Lonchura striata: one gene and its partner. The protein of the gene in region 1 interacts with the protein of each later gene in a pairwise test. Links are inferred from orthologs where the notes say so. Each region holds a gene or a part of one and is shown on either strand. Other genes may lie near its edges.

The links. The genes of interacting proteins can lie anywhere in the genome.
Region 2: the proteins of TEX11 (region 1) and HYI interact in binary tests that used the Homo sapiens proteins (3 or more experiments, as listed by UniProt). The two-hybrid records come from large-scale screens. The link is inferred for Lonchura striata from reciprocal best matches to the Homo sapiens genes TEX11 and HYI.

What each region holds. Positions count from the first base shown.
Region 1 is NC_134616.1:19,168,629-19,175,971, forward strand, and holds the start of TEX11 (testis-expressed protein 11), read left to right. Parts: upstream 1-4,165; 5' UTR 4,166-4,190; coding exon 4,191-4,221; intron 4,222-4,314; coding exon 4,315-4,502; intron 4,503-6,477; coding exon 6,478-6,562; intron 6,563-7,343. Other genes in the region: nuclear cap-binding protein subunit 2, read right to left, coding at 1,846-1,944, 2,604-2,742, 3,521-3,702, 3,870-3,956. UniProt on the Homo sapiens protein: Regulator of crossing-over during meiosis. Involved in initiation and/or maintenance of chromosome synapsis and formation of crossovers.
Region 2 is NC_134611.1:14,980,541-14,988,314, forward strand, and holds HYI (putative hydroxypyruvate isomerase), read left to right. Parts: upstream 1-4,361; coding exon 4,362-4,557; intron 4,558-4,632; coding exon 4,633-4,744; intron 4,745-5,066; exon of another isoform or gene 5,067-5,838; coding exon 5,839-5,953; exon of another isoform or gene 5,954-6,098; coding exon 6,099-6,177; exon of another isoform or gene 6,178-6,302; coding exon 6,303-6,352; exon of another isoform or gene 6,353-6,528; coding exon 6,529-6,598; exon of another isoform or gene 6,599-6,773; coding exon 6,774-6,908; exon of another isoform or gene 6,909-7,089; coding exon 7,090-7,178; 3' UTR 7,179-7,222; downstream 7,223-7,774. UniProt on the Homo sapiens protein: Catalyzes the reversible isomerization between hydroxypyruvate and 2-hydroxy-3-oxopropanoate (also termed tartronate semialdehyde).

The DNA of each region.
Region 1 (7,343 bases):
TGGGGTTCCCGAGTTAAACACAGCCCTCTGGCATCCCTGAACTGTGGCTTTGCAGGCACATGCCAAGCCCCAGTACAGTGCCAGAACCTGCTGGTTTTCACTGGGGTAGGCACCTTTGGCATGTCAGTTTCCCAGGGTTACTTGCTTGTTCAGGTGGAGTCCCAGGCTATGGGAGGTGATAACTAGCCCAGGCACTTGCCCAAATCCTGCCACCCACGGACCAGCCACCTCAGGGCACATTTCAGTATTGACTCACCCAAAAAATTGTCTTCTCTTACATTAGGATGACATCAGAATACACAGACCCCATGATATGTCAACTGTGTTAATTACTAGTATTAAACATCTCATGTAAGGCTGAGCAGGAACAATAAAGCCACCCACACCAGGTGGGAGTGGGAAATGGGATCCTCTCCACAAGGCAGCTCCCCCAGCAGAGCAAGGCCATCTGTGCCAGGGCAAAGCACAGAGCCATGGTTTGTACTAACATGTTCCCAAAGCCCAGCAAAGTAAAGAGATAAGAAATGCAGCCAACAAACACCGTGACTCAACAGGAGCTGCCTACTTAGTAACTACTATGGCTAAAGCACACTTAGCACAGAACAGCCATTGCCTCAGGCCCCACACTGGGCACTAAACTGTGGTGGGCTGACCCTGCCTGGACACCAGCTACCCACCAAGCTGCTCTCTCACATCCCTGCTCAGTGGGAGCGGGGCAGGGAGAAAGTAAGATGGGAACGGAATTTGTGGGCCAAGATAAAGACAGTTTAATAAAGCAAAAGCAAGGCTGCATGTGGGAGCAAAGAAAAACTAAATATTTATTCTCTACTTTCAACCAGCAGGAGATGTCCGGCTACCTCCTGGGAAGCACAGCTTCAGTACACAGAGCAGCTGCTCCAGAAGACAGATGTTTGAATAAGGAATGCCCCCCATGTCCTTTCTCTTAGCTATTGCTGCTCAGCAGATGCCATATCGTTTGGAATATCCCAAGATCTTGCCCCCACCCCAGCCTGCTGGTGAGGTGGGAATGTCAGAGACAGCCTTGATGCTGTGGGAACAAAAGCCAAAACACTGGTGTTTTATCAACACCTTCCTAGCTACCAATACAAAACACAGCTCTATGAGGGCTGCTAGGGGTAAAGTTACCGTCAGACACAATCTCAGTCAGACCCAAAACAACTGTTTATTTAAAAAAAAAAAAAAAAAAAAAAACCAGAAACTTTTAACAAAACCACACCGAACAGTGAGGATCCGAAAAGCAAGGCAGCACTGGGGGCATCACAAAGAGAAATGTTCTGCAGGCCCTGACCAACCCAAGGGCTAGATGTGCAGACAAGCACCTCCAAGCGCGTAAGACCTTGTCCACTTCTCTCTCATTCAGACAGTGATACTGTTTATTAAGCAGGTAAGGTTGTAAATTAGAAACCTGAATCTCTTGTGCATCCTCACTGGGTGCCCAGGCACCTGGAGGGCTCCAATGGTGGCAAGCTTTTAAAAAAAGTTCAGTTTGAAAGCAACCACAGTGGCAGCTGCAGCTTGGAGGAAGCCACCTGCTTAAGTGCAACACGAAGAGTATGTCATAGCATAAGATGTGTGTGACATGCTACATTTCTTCTTGCCCAAAATCCTACAGAGCTGTCCATTTTTCCCTTGTTGCCCTGTATCAGCACAGAACATCCCCTCTAGCTCAGAAAGAAGGGAGAATGAACACATGTATATCTGCAGTCTAAGGAGAGTCACCTTTTGCAGGAACTTGGATTTCACTCCATACCCTGAACCCAAATGTGAGAACAGGGCTAGCTCTGGAAGGACAGAGTCCTCTGTGAGCTAGGAATCATGAAGCAATTAATAGATTGCAGGCTGGTGATTTGCCTTCTGCATCTGAATGATCTTGCCAAAGCCACCTCTTCCCACATCGTAGTCTGTCCGGTATTCATCTCGCACCTGGGGCACAGCAACAACACATGTATTAATAGCCAGCACTGCCTGTCCCCTACTAGACTTCAGAATCATCATCCCCTCCTTGTTCAGTTGGTGGGGAACTGAAGTTCAGATTAGAAGCACTTCAACTCGTCTGAGATCTCTTCAACTAATCCACCAGAAACGTGGTAATGGTGGTGAAAATGACCAAAAGGATGTATCTGATTGTTGAGAATTTTTCAGGTAAGAAGCAAAGAAGACCCCAAAGTATTTTTGTTCAGCTTTTCCATACACCCTTTTGAACTGCCAGATTTGGCCTTCAGAACATTTTATCTCATCTAAACCTCATCCTTGCCCTTGGGGAAACTGCTGTTATTGAGATTGGCCTGGCAGCCACACTGCTTCCCTCTACTCAAATTCTGGATCATTTCAAAAGTACTAGCTTGGTTTAGGGAACATTCTGCTTGCATTGCAGGACTTTTGGAGTCCTAGACAGAAGTGGCCTTAAGTTCTATTTCCAGCCTTTAACACCAGGTGTCAATTACCAAAACAACCTGGGAGTGAGTAAACTTCATTATCAGGTCTTTACAGCCTGCACATTGTTCTCCCTAGGACAAAATCAGCAAGTAAGTACACGGAGTCTTAGAGGATCAAATTCAGGGATGAACTGGCATTGCCTTTACCTGTCCTCCAGTCTTTCCTCTCCCATACTGTCGCCCCTCCTTAAACCCTGCATCCCAGTCCGTGCGGATGATGCGGTCGTCCAGCCGTGTGCCGTTGATAAACCTCATGGCATGCTCAGCATCTGCTCTCGTGTAGTATCTGAGGCACTCTGTAAGAACAACTAAGTGTGCTTTGTTGGGTACAGGGAAAAAAAACAGGGAAAGTATTGTATTTGAGAAGCAGAACTCCCCCCCTACTGCCTTCCAGCCTTTTCTACTCTTCCTGCTCTTCTCTATGAGATCAAAAACTGCACTCATGTAAATCTAAGCTAAGACCAGCTAAGGCTCAGAAAGGATTCTGTACTTTAATGTTAGTACCTGCACAGACAAGACAACGAAACAAGACATTAAAGCCTTGCTAAGGGCAAGAAATCAGTAATATGCCTTTTTGTACTATGTAAAGCTTGACTGAAATAGAACAAAAGGAGCAGGCTTCACAGGAGAGCTCTGCATAGACAGCTCCTGGCACAACCTGTATAAGCATGTACCCTTTGCTTGAAAACGCCCCCATGGCTTATCCAGCTACTTCCTTCAGGTGTAAAGTTGAGATAAGAAAGTAAACGTGCTCTGGACATGGAAGACATCAGACTGATGAATGTAACAGCTCTCATTCTGGCCATAAAACCATTAAACGAATGAATTAAAGGGGCTCTCTGCCGCCTCCAGAAACTACAGCTCTGGTGGCACTTGTCACGTATGGCACCACTACACAATCGGTCTCAGGGCACAGTGAGGAAGGGGCAAGGATGGACGGGATGTGCCTGGTAGGAAGCACTTGGCTATCACCTTTCCAGCAGCAGTACAGATACACTTGCAGTGCAGAGGAACTACAGGCGCCAACCACATCCCTACTGACAAAAGGGAACCAGAAAGGATACTCTACAAAGCAGAAGCCACAGGGGGTTTTCTTGATCTTGTCCAGACCCATGACAATTCTCTTGACATCTCCGCACTTGGAGAACAGCTCCTGGATCTGCTCCTCGGTGGTGTAGAAGGAGAGATTACCGACATACAGCGTGGAGGAAATCTTCAGGGATTTCTCCTGCAGCTGCCTGCTACCCTGCGGGCACAGAGGCGCACGCCGCGGGCTCAGCGCGCTCGCCGTCCCGCTCCTACCGCCCCGTGCCCTCCCGCTGCCCGGCTTCTCGCACGGCCTTGCCCCGGCCTCAGCCCTCCCCGCCCCGGCCGGGCCGGGCCGGGTCCCGCCACCCGCGGCGCCGGGCGCACCCGGAAGTGCTGGTCCCGGTACTGGCTGATCTCGCAGTACGAGTCGCTGTTGAGCCCGCTGAGCGTGGTGTGCAGCAGCCCCGACATGGCGCCCGCCGGCCCCACCGCCGGGATCCTTCCAGAACCGCCGCGCGCCGGACGCGGGGAGCGGCGCGCGAGAAACGCCGCTCCCGCCCCGCGCGATTGGCCGCGCCGGCTGTCACTCAGGCGGGGGCGGGGCGGAGCCGCCGGACAGCCAATCGGCAGCTCGGGGGCCCGCCTGGAGCGCTGGGCTGGGGCGCGCAGGCGCAGTGCGGGGCGCAGCGCTCCCGCTGAGGGGCCATGGCGGGGCCGCGGGCGGCGGCCGCGGAAGGTGCTGTGGGCCCTGGGCTCTCCCCGATAAGCGCCGCCCCTGGCGGCTGACGTTGGGCTGCGTGTCATGCCCCGCTGTCCTCCTGTCTTACAGCGCTGGTGCAGGAGCTGCTGAGGGAAGAGGCGCCGTCCCGCATTGCTGCCCTCGCGGAGGAGCTGTTCCAGGCGGCGGAGAGCATCTCTGAAGGGGATGGGAAGGTGGCGGAGGGAGAGTCCCCCGCTCCCAGCCCGTCTGAAGAAACGGGGCGTGCATGTGCTTCGCACCCCACAGCCCTGGCCCAGGTTGGTGCTGCAGCTCCCTAAACACCAGCTGCTGCTGCTGCTTCCCATCCTTGGCGGTGAGGCTAAAAGTGTAACACTACTGAAACGTAAAGAAAAGAGTTCACTTCTTCGTCATTTGCCCCAATAGCGTAAAAGTCCAAAATAAAGTGGGAAATGTTATTTTTAAAAGTCAATGTGAAATGATCTTGAATGTAAAAATATGTGTGTCAGTAACTCTGCTCTCATGAGACCCCACCTGGATACTGTGTTCAGGTCTGGGGTCACCAGCATCAGAAGGATGTGGACCTGCTGGAGGAAGTCATGAAGGTGACTGAAGGGCTGGAGCACCTCTCCTGGGAAAGGCAGATCGAGTTCAGCCAGAAGAGAAGGCTCTGGGGAGAACTTACAGCACCTTTAGTGCCTAAAGGGGTTCCAAGAGAGCTGGAGGAGGACTTTGGCCAAGGGCTTGAAGTAATAGGAAAAGGGGAAATGGCTTTACATTGAAAGTAGGTTGACTTAGATTAGATATTAGTAATATACTGTGAGGGTGGGGAGGCCCTGGCAACAGGTTGCCCAGAGCAGCTGTGGCTGCCCCATCCCTGGAAGTGTCCAAGGCTAGGTTGGACAGGGCTTGGAGCAACCTGGTCTGGTGAAAGGTATTGGAACTGGCTTGTCTTTAAGGTCACTTCCAACCCATCCATTCTATGATAATAATGGGAAAAAATACTGGTTACTTGTGCTGTTAAGGTATATATTATTTCAAACTACTAGTAGTATCTAGTTGTAATTTCAAGGAAAAATGGAAGCAGAGAGCACTGATGCATTAAGCATTTGGTACTGGATCAGAGGAGAGGCCCTTCTCACCTTGTCTGTGGATTCCCATAGTGACAGCAGATAACCCAAGGAAGAAGAAAACAAGCAAGCATGTAATTTTAACTGCCTGGTAAACAATATTCCAGTACACAATATTATATTTGAGGTACTAATTTTCAGTCCTTGCTAAAGTTTATCAGATGGTTGTTCATAATGTTTGCTTTTTCCTTCTGTTTATTTCTCCTAGAGGAGTACTTAGAAAGAAGTAAACATTACTTTTAAAACTCTTTTTTCAAAGAGAAATCTGGTAATATATGAATCTGAAATAAGGAAGAAGACCAGCTGAGATATAGTCCAGCTTCTTCCTCTAAAATTATATTTTCAAGAGACATTTAATAAGTAGCAATTATCAGCTAAGGAACACTGGTTTTGGAAGTCCTAAATTTGCAACAAGGAGCAAAATAAGTTAGCAGGTGTAGCAGAAAGTGTCAATAGTACAGTTTGTAAAGAAATACAAGAGCATAAAAGTGCTATCCTTAAGTTCTTCCTGAGTCAATTGGGGTAAATTATTTTTGAAGAAAGGAGAAATCATTCATTTGTAATCTGGCCACTTCAATAAGAGGGGCTATGAACTCTCTCCTAGATAGGCAAGATCTCTCATGAAAAGTAGAATAAAGTGATGGAAAATGCAGCCCCTCAGGTGGGTTGCTAAAGCAGATTATTGCTTTTATGTAGTGTTGTATCTTTTGAACAAGAGTATATACTCAGTAACCTTTGTTCTTTGTTTGCTAATATCCAAAGTTTCCCAGTGTAGGTATTTAAAGTAATTAAGCTACTTAGTGTTCTTTTTGATGTGCAAAAGAGGTGAAGCCTTACTACAGGTCGTTCTCAAATGTGATAAGAATTCTTAGAGTTCTTTTCCAACCCCTTCAGATTTTAGGTGAAGAAATGCTGCATCCATTCAGCATGCCTGTTTTCAGGTCACTGTCCAGCATGTCCTGTGGGATCCTGTGACAGTTTTATGGAAAGCTCACACCTTTCACTCTGGTGTAAACGGAAGTTGACAAACACTTGGAGAGGCCATTCCTGTGAAACACATGAAAGATGCTTATTTTTCAGTAGTAAATTTCAATTGGATCCATATCCGGGACAAAATTTAATTGAGTGGAATTCTCCCCTTCAGGTTGAAGAGAGTGCAGTCAGCTTGTGGAACTGGACTGTGACCAAACACACAGCTGCTGTTATCAGTGATGAGCAAAGAGCCAAACGTATGTATGTTCTGTACCTTCCTAAAGGTGTTCTATGTGCTGTAGCATGGAAACTAAACACTCTCTGCTGCCAGGCACATAAGTAGTGCTGTAGATTTGTTTGAGCCTTTGTAGACATGGTCTAGAAAGACAAAAATGTACTGGTGGGCTTGTATAAACAGTTCAAGAAGAAGCATCCTAATGCAATACTTATCTTCTTGTGACACAGAATCAGTGTAGGCATTTTTATCACTCTCCTTTCCATGCCAGAGCACCAGTAAGGAGGTGATGAGACCAAAGGAAGCTGTAATTTGCCTTCTGAGACTGTGGTTCAAATCTAAAAATGTATGGAAATAACACAGATAAATTTTAGACCGTTGGTCACTTAATTTATATCAAGTGAGATAGTTACATTAAAAAAACAATCTCATCCACGTTTACATACAGAAACATTCTAAGTCCTCTTTTTATTGACCTGCTTTAGCCAGGTGCACAGCTGGTAGGTTCTCTTGGGCCAGGGGCAGGGCTGGGGGAAAGCAGAAATGAGCTTTTGGGATTTTGCCTTAGTGTGTTCTTTCTGTGGTTTTGTGGGATTGCAGTGTCAAGCCTACATTCTTGTCCTGAGGGATTATAGTCAAAATGATGTATAATCTGCATCATATGAATTATACCAGGTAAAGGGAAAAGGGTAAGTTGACACAAAGTAGAGCACGATGTTCTCAGATCATTGCTGAAGGGCCACGGAGAGGCTGTTTAAAGTACATTAAATAGTGTCTTTTCCATCCCTGATGTCTAAGGAAGG
Region 2 (7,774 bases), on another chromosome or scaffold:
TGTAAAGGAGAGGGTGCAACCAGCAGGACATCAATCAAATGGAAAATGATAAAGGAAGCCTCTTGACAGGAGGGGCCAGCAGTAGAGGGAGGGATAGTGGCAGCATCATGAGGCCAAAAGAAATTTTGGCACGGCAATAAATCCTGGAGCGGCTGGAGCCGCTCGAGCACTAATGATGAGGCGAAAATACCAGCCACGTTTAACAAATATTTCTGCTCTGTATTTGGAGAGAAGCAGGACGACATGCTTGAATTGTACAAGAGTGATGAAACCGCCTATTAATTACTGCCGGGAATGTTAAACAACATCTGCCAGCTCAGCGGGCCCAGGCACCGCCCGCCCCGGCCTCCTCCAAGAGCTGGAGGAGAATTTGGCTTCCTCATTAATTTCCTACGAAATCTTGGAATAGCAAGAAAATCCTGGCCAGCTGATGGAGAGCCCACCCATGCTGGGAGCTGCAGGGAGGCAGGGGTGCTCAGTCCTTAACTTGGCTCTGCTGGGATTTATATCATGTTTGCACCCAGTACAATCCTTCTTGATGAAGAATAGCCGTAAGTTGGCAAAGGTTGGGCTTTTCTTTCCCATAACTTGGTATATAGATTTTCTGTATATTCATGTATTTTTGGAGGTTGCAAGAAAGTGAGGCTTGAGCTGGAAAATGTGCTCATTAAGGCACCCTTCAGGAACCTCTGTCACAGCTTTGGGAGGCACTGCCATCTTTCCCTGCATTTCTCATGTGCTGTGCAGTGCCTGCAACCAGAAAAATGGGGGGGACAGAAGGGCAGAGGGGATAGGGGAACAGGGGAAGGGAGGAGATGTAAAGGGGCTGGAGGAATGGAGGGGAAGGAGCAGAGGAGGGCGAAGAAATAGAATAAGAAGGCAAAGATGAAGAGGAAGAGGAGGAGGAGAGAGGGGGTCCAGGAGGGAGGACCCCATAGGACCAGAGCAAGTTCCATCTGTGGCACAGTCCTGCTCCCCCATCATTAGCAGCAGAAGGTAGCTTCTTCATTTTAGGAGGTGGAAACTGAGCAAGAAAAGTGGCTGAAGGGCACAGCAGACTTCAACAGCAGAAAACAGGTGGCTCAGCAGCAGAAAGACAGTAATTAACAAATTAACTCTGTACAGTATGCACTGACCAGGTTAAGCAGAGGAGGACTTGACAGAGTCAAGTCAGAATCCCAGAAGGAGTCCTCAGCAGGCACCAGGGCTGCCACCTCTCTTCAGTGCCAGGTCCTTGAGTCAAACCACCACTGGTGCCCACGGCTGTGAAAACAAGGAGGTCCAAGAAACTCAGGTGGGATTCTGGGTAAGGCAGGGAGCTGGGCAGATACATGCAGCCAGCCACGTCTCATCACTCTGCAAAGCCTGCCCCAACACCGGGGAGCTGGGAGGGAACCCAGCAGGGGTGATGGGGCTCAGGGCACAGCTGCCATGGGGTTACACTGGTCTCAGTGTACAGGTGGGGAGGTGGGGCTGGGCTGGTGCTGGTCCTGTGGAGAGGCTTTTTATCTCTTGGCCCCTTTGCATCCCGAGGGCACAGGTTTAAGGAAGACCATCTTTGGTGAAAAATCATGAGATTTAATACAAGCAAAACTCCCGCAGCTGCCTCCACAAGATGCTGGGTCACATGTGGATTATTTTTCCCAGACCTTTTTTACACATAAAGAGGTTAGAATTTACTCCCTATAAAAGCCAAAATCCAAATATGGCTGCAAAATATTGGGGTGCTTTGGAGGAGAGAAGAAAGCTTGTGGGGAAGAGATGCTTGGGATGCCCTCTTTCAGTCTGAGCCCTGGATTCCCTTGCACAGCCACAAGGTGCAGGGGGAAATGGGACAGGTCTGGGGGTGCCCAAGAGGGATGGGGTAAGAAGTGTCAGTGGGATGGCGCCATCCAGACACCCCAGCCCACAGCACCTCATCCCTCACGGCCCTCAGGGGGCCAGCTGGGCCACCTGGGACAGACAGTTACAATACAGAAATGTCAATTTAAATTAAAACATCTTTCATAAAGGAGAAAGATAAAACCTGCCCTGTAGTAAAATGAGATGAGAGAATTATGGGGTACTGGGAGGACTGGTGTCCCCACTTCAGTGGGCTCAGGGTGGGGGGCTGGCTTGGCTTCTGCTGTTGGCACTGCAGGGCACCCCGAGGCACTGCCATCTCCCCATCCCAGCCATCACAGAGGCCAGAGCTGGGTCTGCAACGAAATGTCAGCTCGACAATAAAATGTGGAGAAGCTACATTTTCTTCAGGCTAATAAAACTCCTGGGCAGCAGCAGAGATGCTTGGTACAGAGCTGCTCTCCCTCTCCAGCACCCTCCTTGGGCCCCTCCTCATCTTCCTTGGAGATACGGGGTCCATCTGACCCCATGCTCATTGTGCCAGCCCCTCAACAGAGGCTGCTGAGCACAGGCCCCAGCAGCAGTGTGAGACACGGCTCCAGAGCTGTGTGTGCCACGGCAGGGAGTAAATCCTCAGCGTCCTGTCAAGGTAAAGTGACAAAACACCGGCCTGCAATGCAGGAACTGCAGTTATAACATGAGAAAATCAATGCAATATATTACCAGGGACATAAAGATGCTATTAATGCTTCAGCGCAGAGCCCTCAGCTTCACCTGCCATCGCAGGGCAGGTTTACATGAAGGCTCTGTGCATTCCCATCTGGTTGCTCAGGTCACTCACATGCTGGGGCTCAGTTCTGTGTTTATTCACTGACACCCCCACCCAGCAAAGCTTTCCTGCTCCCACACACTGACTCCTGGGCTTTGACCCTGTCAGGGGCCTGGGCTCCAGCTGGAGATGTAACCAGGGCTGCTGGGGCGATGCATGGCCTCAGTGAATGCCTTTCTGAGGTGCAAGGACACAGCGAGGCTGCAGCCCCAGGCCAGGCAGGTACCAGCTTTCTTTCTAGGGATTCCAATGACTGTGCAGCTCTGCAATCCACCCACCTGCACTCAGGTGCCTCCTGGAAAAGACTGAAGAGGATGACAACCCCTGTGCACCACAGAATGAGGCCACAGGATATGTATAAGGTGCAGCACTCCCCTGGCATGGCAGCTGCCGGCAGGGAGCAGTCTGTGTCCTGGGGACATGTGTGCTGGATAAGGAGGAGAGCTGGGCATATACATACAGCCAGCCACATCACATCACTCTGCAAAGCCTGCCCCAATACCGGGAAGCAGGGAGGGACACCCACCAGGGGTGATGGGGCTCAGGGCACAGCTGCCGTGGGGTTACACTGGGGAGGCGGGTCTGGAGGAGGTTGGTGCTGGATCCCGTGGACAGGCTTTTCGTCTCTTGGCCTCTTTGCAACCCGAGGACATGGTTGCCACTCCCTGCAATTGACAGTTTGGACTGTTACTGAGAAGTTGAGTCAAGCCTCTTCTAATTGATTAATCAATAGCTTTAATTGAGTTGAGACTCCTTAGTGGGTAACTTCACCACTGTTATCCCCTTCGCCAGCACTACCCCACACTGACCCCCCACCAAAAACCTGTTGCTGTGGCCTGGCCTCTGCCCAGGCTGTGCTCCCACAGCACAGCGAATTCCTGGGGCTTGCCGTTGCCTGGGGCTGCAGAGGGCTACTGCAGCAGTGACAGAGGGCTCGGACCGTGCGGGGCTCCCCCAGCACGGGGTAGGAGCCCCCAGGAACAAGCTGAAACACAAGGGGCTGCAAAATGTCCACGGCTTACGGTACCCGTTCTGTCAGGCACGGCAGAGCCCCGGGCACGGGCAGGGCAGGACACGCACCCCGCCCGCGCAGCCTGCGGGAGCGCGGGGGGACACACGGAGCAGGGGAATGGGCACTGGGGGCGCGGGGCTCCTGCGGGCACCGCCGGGGTCACGCTGCTGCACGCCCGAGCCACAGCTCTGCAGAAGCGGAGAGGAACATTTTATGGTAAAATATGCAGAGCATGGGACAAAAGGAGAGAGCCTTTCTCGCATAATGAGACTCTGTCAGAGACAAGCTCCCCAGGAAACCAATTAAGAGGGCGCTTCGCGTGTGTCAGGCCAACACCTGGCAAACCCCCCTTTCCCAGAGTGAATTCCAGCCGCGTGGAATTCCAGCAGCAGCTCCATGCGGCCCCAGCACGGCTCTGTCCCGCAGACCCTCAGGCGCAGCCGGGAACCCCACGCGTGTCACAGGCGGCACGAAGCCGTCTCTGCCCGCGGGGGCGCGGCGTGGGGCCGCTCGCCCACGGCCGCGGGCACGTCCCGGAGCCCTCGGCCCAGCACTGCCGCCGCCGAGGGCGCTCGCTGCGCTCCCGGGCCGGGCCGGGCCGGGGCTGTCCGGGCGGGACGCGGGGCCCGGAGCGCCCCGGGAGCGCCGCCCAGGCCCGCCCCGCCCCGCCCCGCCGCCATGGCGCTGCGCTTCTCCGCCAACCTCTCATGGCTCTTCCCCGAGCTGCCGGCGCTGCCGGCGCGGCTGGAAGCGGCGGCGGCCGCCGGGTTCGGAGCGGTGGAGGCGGCTTGGCCGGCGGGCTGCCCGGCCCAGGAGCTGCGGGCCGCGGCGGAGCGGGCGCGGGTGCAGATCGCGCTCCTCAACGCCCCCCCCGGTACGGCCGCGGCCCGCCGCTCCCCCCGTGCGAGGGGAGCGAGGACCCTCCGCCGACCCTGCCGCTCTCTCCCAGGGGACCCGGAGGCGGGCGAGCTGGGGCTGGCGGCCGTGCCGGGGCGGCAGGCTGCCTTCCGACAGGGCCTGGAGGCGGCCGTGCGCTACGCCAGGGCTGTGGGCTGCCCCAGGTAGGTGCGAGGCGGGACCCCGGCCCCGGCTGCGGTCCTGCTCCAGCGCTCCTGCCCTTTGCCCCGCGGTGCCTGCCGCCGCCGGGTCACCGAGCCTCTCCCGGGCAGCATCTCCTGCTCGGCTGCGTGGGGAAGGAGCCAGCTCGGGCAGACCCCGCTGTGCGGGGCCGCGGCCTCGGCGTGCTCGCCGGGAGCGGGCCCAGAGCTGCCAGGCACGAGCCTGACCCTGCCCTTCGCAGTAGAGGCTCTTGAGTAGGCTCCCACCTCCACACAACCGTCCTCAGGATAATCCTCCCTTTTTCCTCCTCAACTGCACCAGTCGTTTCCACCAGGACACCACAACAGTTGCTTTATTGAGGCCACGCTGACTCCAGCACTAGCAGAGACACCATAAAAGATGCAATTAGCCTGGCACAGCTCCCCCTTCAGCAAACCAACAGGGCCCTTTTATTCCCCTTACTTTGGACCATTCTTTTCGGTTGCAACTCAGTCCAAAGCCCTGTGGAGGGCATGGGCTAGGCAGCCCAGAGGCTGCCCAGCACCATTTGCACACTGGTACAGGCACACTGAAAAGGTTTTTGTTTCTACTGTGTTCCTTCCCCCAGTAGTGGCTGAAGATGGCCTGGTGCTTGAGCTCTTCATGGCAGGGCAGTCCAGCAGGCAGCACTGTCCCCTCCCTGCTCACAGCCAGCAAGCAGTGACACCACGCAGAGGGCAGGCCCCTGGCAGAAGTAGCATGCCAGTTGCCCAACATGCTGGTTTGGGGCTCCTCAAGAAGCAAGAGCCCAAAAAGCTTCAGAGTCAGGGTGAAAGAGCTGAAAGCAGTTAACAAAAGAGAGAAGAAGTAAGGTCTGTAGTTTGTCAGGCAAAAGGTTCAAAGTCATCCCTCTGTGGATTGAGGTGGAATGGAGCATATTTGTGTCCTGGCTGGCAGCTGGCTGCTGTTGTGCCTCCTGGAGGAGAGATGGATCTTCTTACCCCTTTCTGTGTCTGCTCCCCCAGCCTGGCCCCCTTTTCCATCAGTAAAGGAAGGTGTATTAGATCAGGCCAGCTGCTCACAGTTGCTGCCTGTGATTATCTTTCTGTGCCTGTAGGATTCATGTGATGGCTGGGCGGGTTCCCTTGGGCACAGACCGGGCTGCAGTTGCAGGTGAGATGGAAACCACCTTCATTGAGAATCTCAGATACACTGCTGACCTCCTGTCCCAGGTAAGTGGGGAATGGGTCCTGCTTTGTACGTGCAGTTCTTAGGATACCCAAGATGGGGAATAGCCCACCAGCCTGGCATAGGGAAGTTATGCTTCCTGCTGCAGAAATAACAGGATGCTCCTCAGGGTGACATTACTGTTTACAGGAAGACATGATTGGACTGCTGGAGCCTATTAACAACCGTATCACTGACCCTCGCTACTATCTGAACACCCCACACCAAGGTAAACCAGACAACAAAAGTCTCCTTCAGAGGAGAAGGATCTCCACAGTTGATAAAGGGGGTCCTGGGGTTTCTCTGCAAAGCTTCCACCCTGGGGCCATGGTTTCTCATTTTTTGCCCCCTTAGCTGCTGCCATTCTGGAGAAAGTGGGACGGCCCAACCTGAAGCTGCAGCTGGTGAGTCAGCATTGAAGCTCTCCATGAGAGAAACTTGCACAGGTCCACAAAGGAATTCTGGTGGCCATGGCCTTGTTAGATCCCCTTGGGGATACTGGACAGGGATTAAAGCACAGCTGTCCTTAACCGCTCACAGTTGATCAGCTGCACCCTCCATTTTCCTCTCTCGCCCCCAGGACCTTTTTCACTGCCAGATCATGGATGGCAATTTGTCACACAACCTGGAGACGTACTTCCCACTCATCGGTAATACCCTGTGCCCAGACCACTGGGGAGTGGTTTTGAGAGGGGGCCCTCCTACTCCAGGCTCTGCTGTAGCTGGCTGAGGGTGTGGGGCTGATCTTGGGTCACCTTGTCTCATGGCCAAAGAAGGCTGCAAGCAGGGCTGCCTTAGGCATGGCCTCTCCCCTTTCCCCGCTAGGTCATATCCAGATTGCACAGGTCCCAGGGCGGCACGAGCCCGATAGCCCTGGGGAGTTGAACTTCCCCTACATCTTTGAGCTCCTGGAGTCCCTTGGCTACACTGGCTATGTGGGGTGCGAGTATGCTCCGAAGGGTGAGTAGACCTGCAGGTCTGAGCCCTACGGGCAGTCCAAGCACAGACCAGCTGGCTACATACTGTGCAAAGACAGGCAGGTCCTGGGAGGCACAGGGTGTCATCCCTACCTGGGGATGAGGGCTCTGTCCTGAACAGAAGTTGCTCCAGCTGCAGCAGGAGACCTTGTCTGTTACTGCAGGAGACACCCTGGAAGGTCTGGGCTGGCTGCGATCCTACTGGGAAAGCCGAGGGCTGCAGCATGGTGGGACCAGCAAGGCAGCCAAGTAAAACTAGAAAACCATGAGAATAAAAGACAAAACAATGGCTTATCAGAGGAGCATGTGTCTTCTCTAGGACTAGGGGAGTGTGGTGGGTGGGATGATTACCTAGAATGAGATTAGGAGCATCTTTGTCATTTCCCTTCCCCAGGCTTTACTGGGCCAGCCCAAGCTGTTGAGCCCTCATCTACAGAAGTACCACTTGTAGTGTGTTCAATTTAGTGATGGCTCAGGCACCACTGTACCACTTCAGGTACAGAGAAAACTTTCACTTCCAGGCTGCAGGAGTGTCCAAGAAGAGGTTTCCAGTCTCCCCAATAAGGGGAGCATTCCAGCTGGTGCCTGAAGTTGTAGAAAGAACACTTTGGACTTCCAGGTACTGAAGTTCTCAAGGCTGTTGCCAGTGTCCAGCACTGGCAGCAGGGCTGCAGGTGAAGCAAGCAGTCCCCTCCCAGGCTGTCTGATCCAAGGTAACAGGCTGCCTGCACATGGATATCCAAGCCTTGACTGTCTTGCTGCTCCTGCTCTGGAGCAAGAGTAAGATTCCAAAGCAAACCCAGCCAGCCCAGTAGCCAGGGCTGCTCTGCATCCTCCACAGGCAGTTTT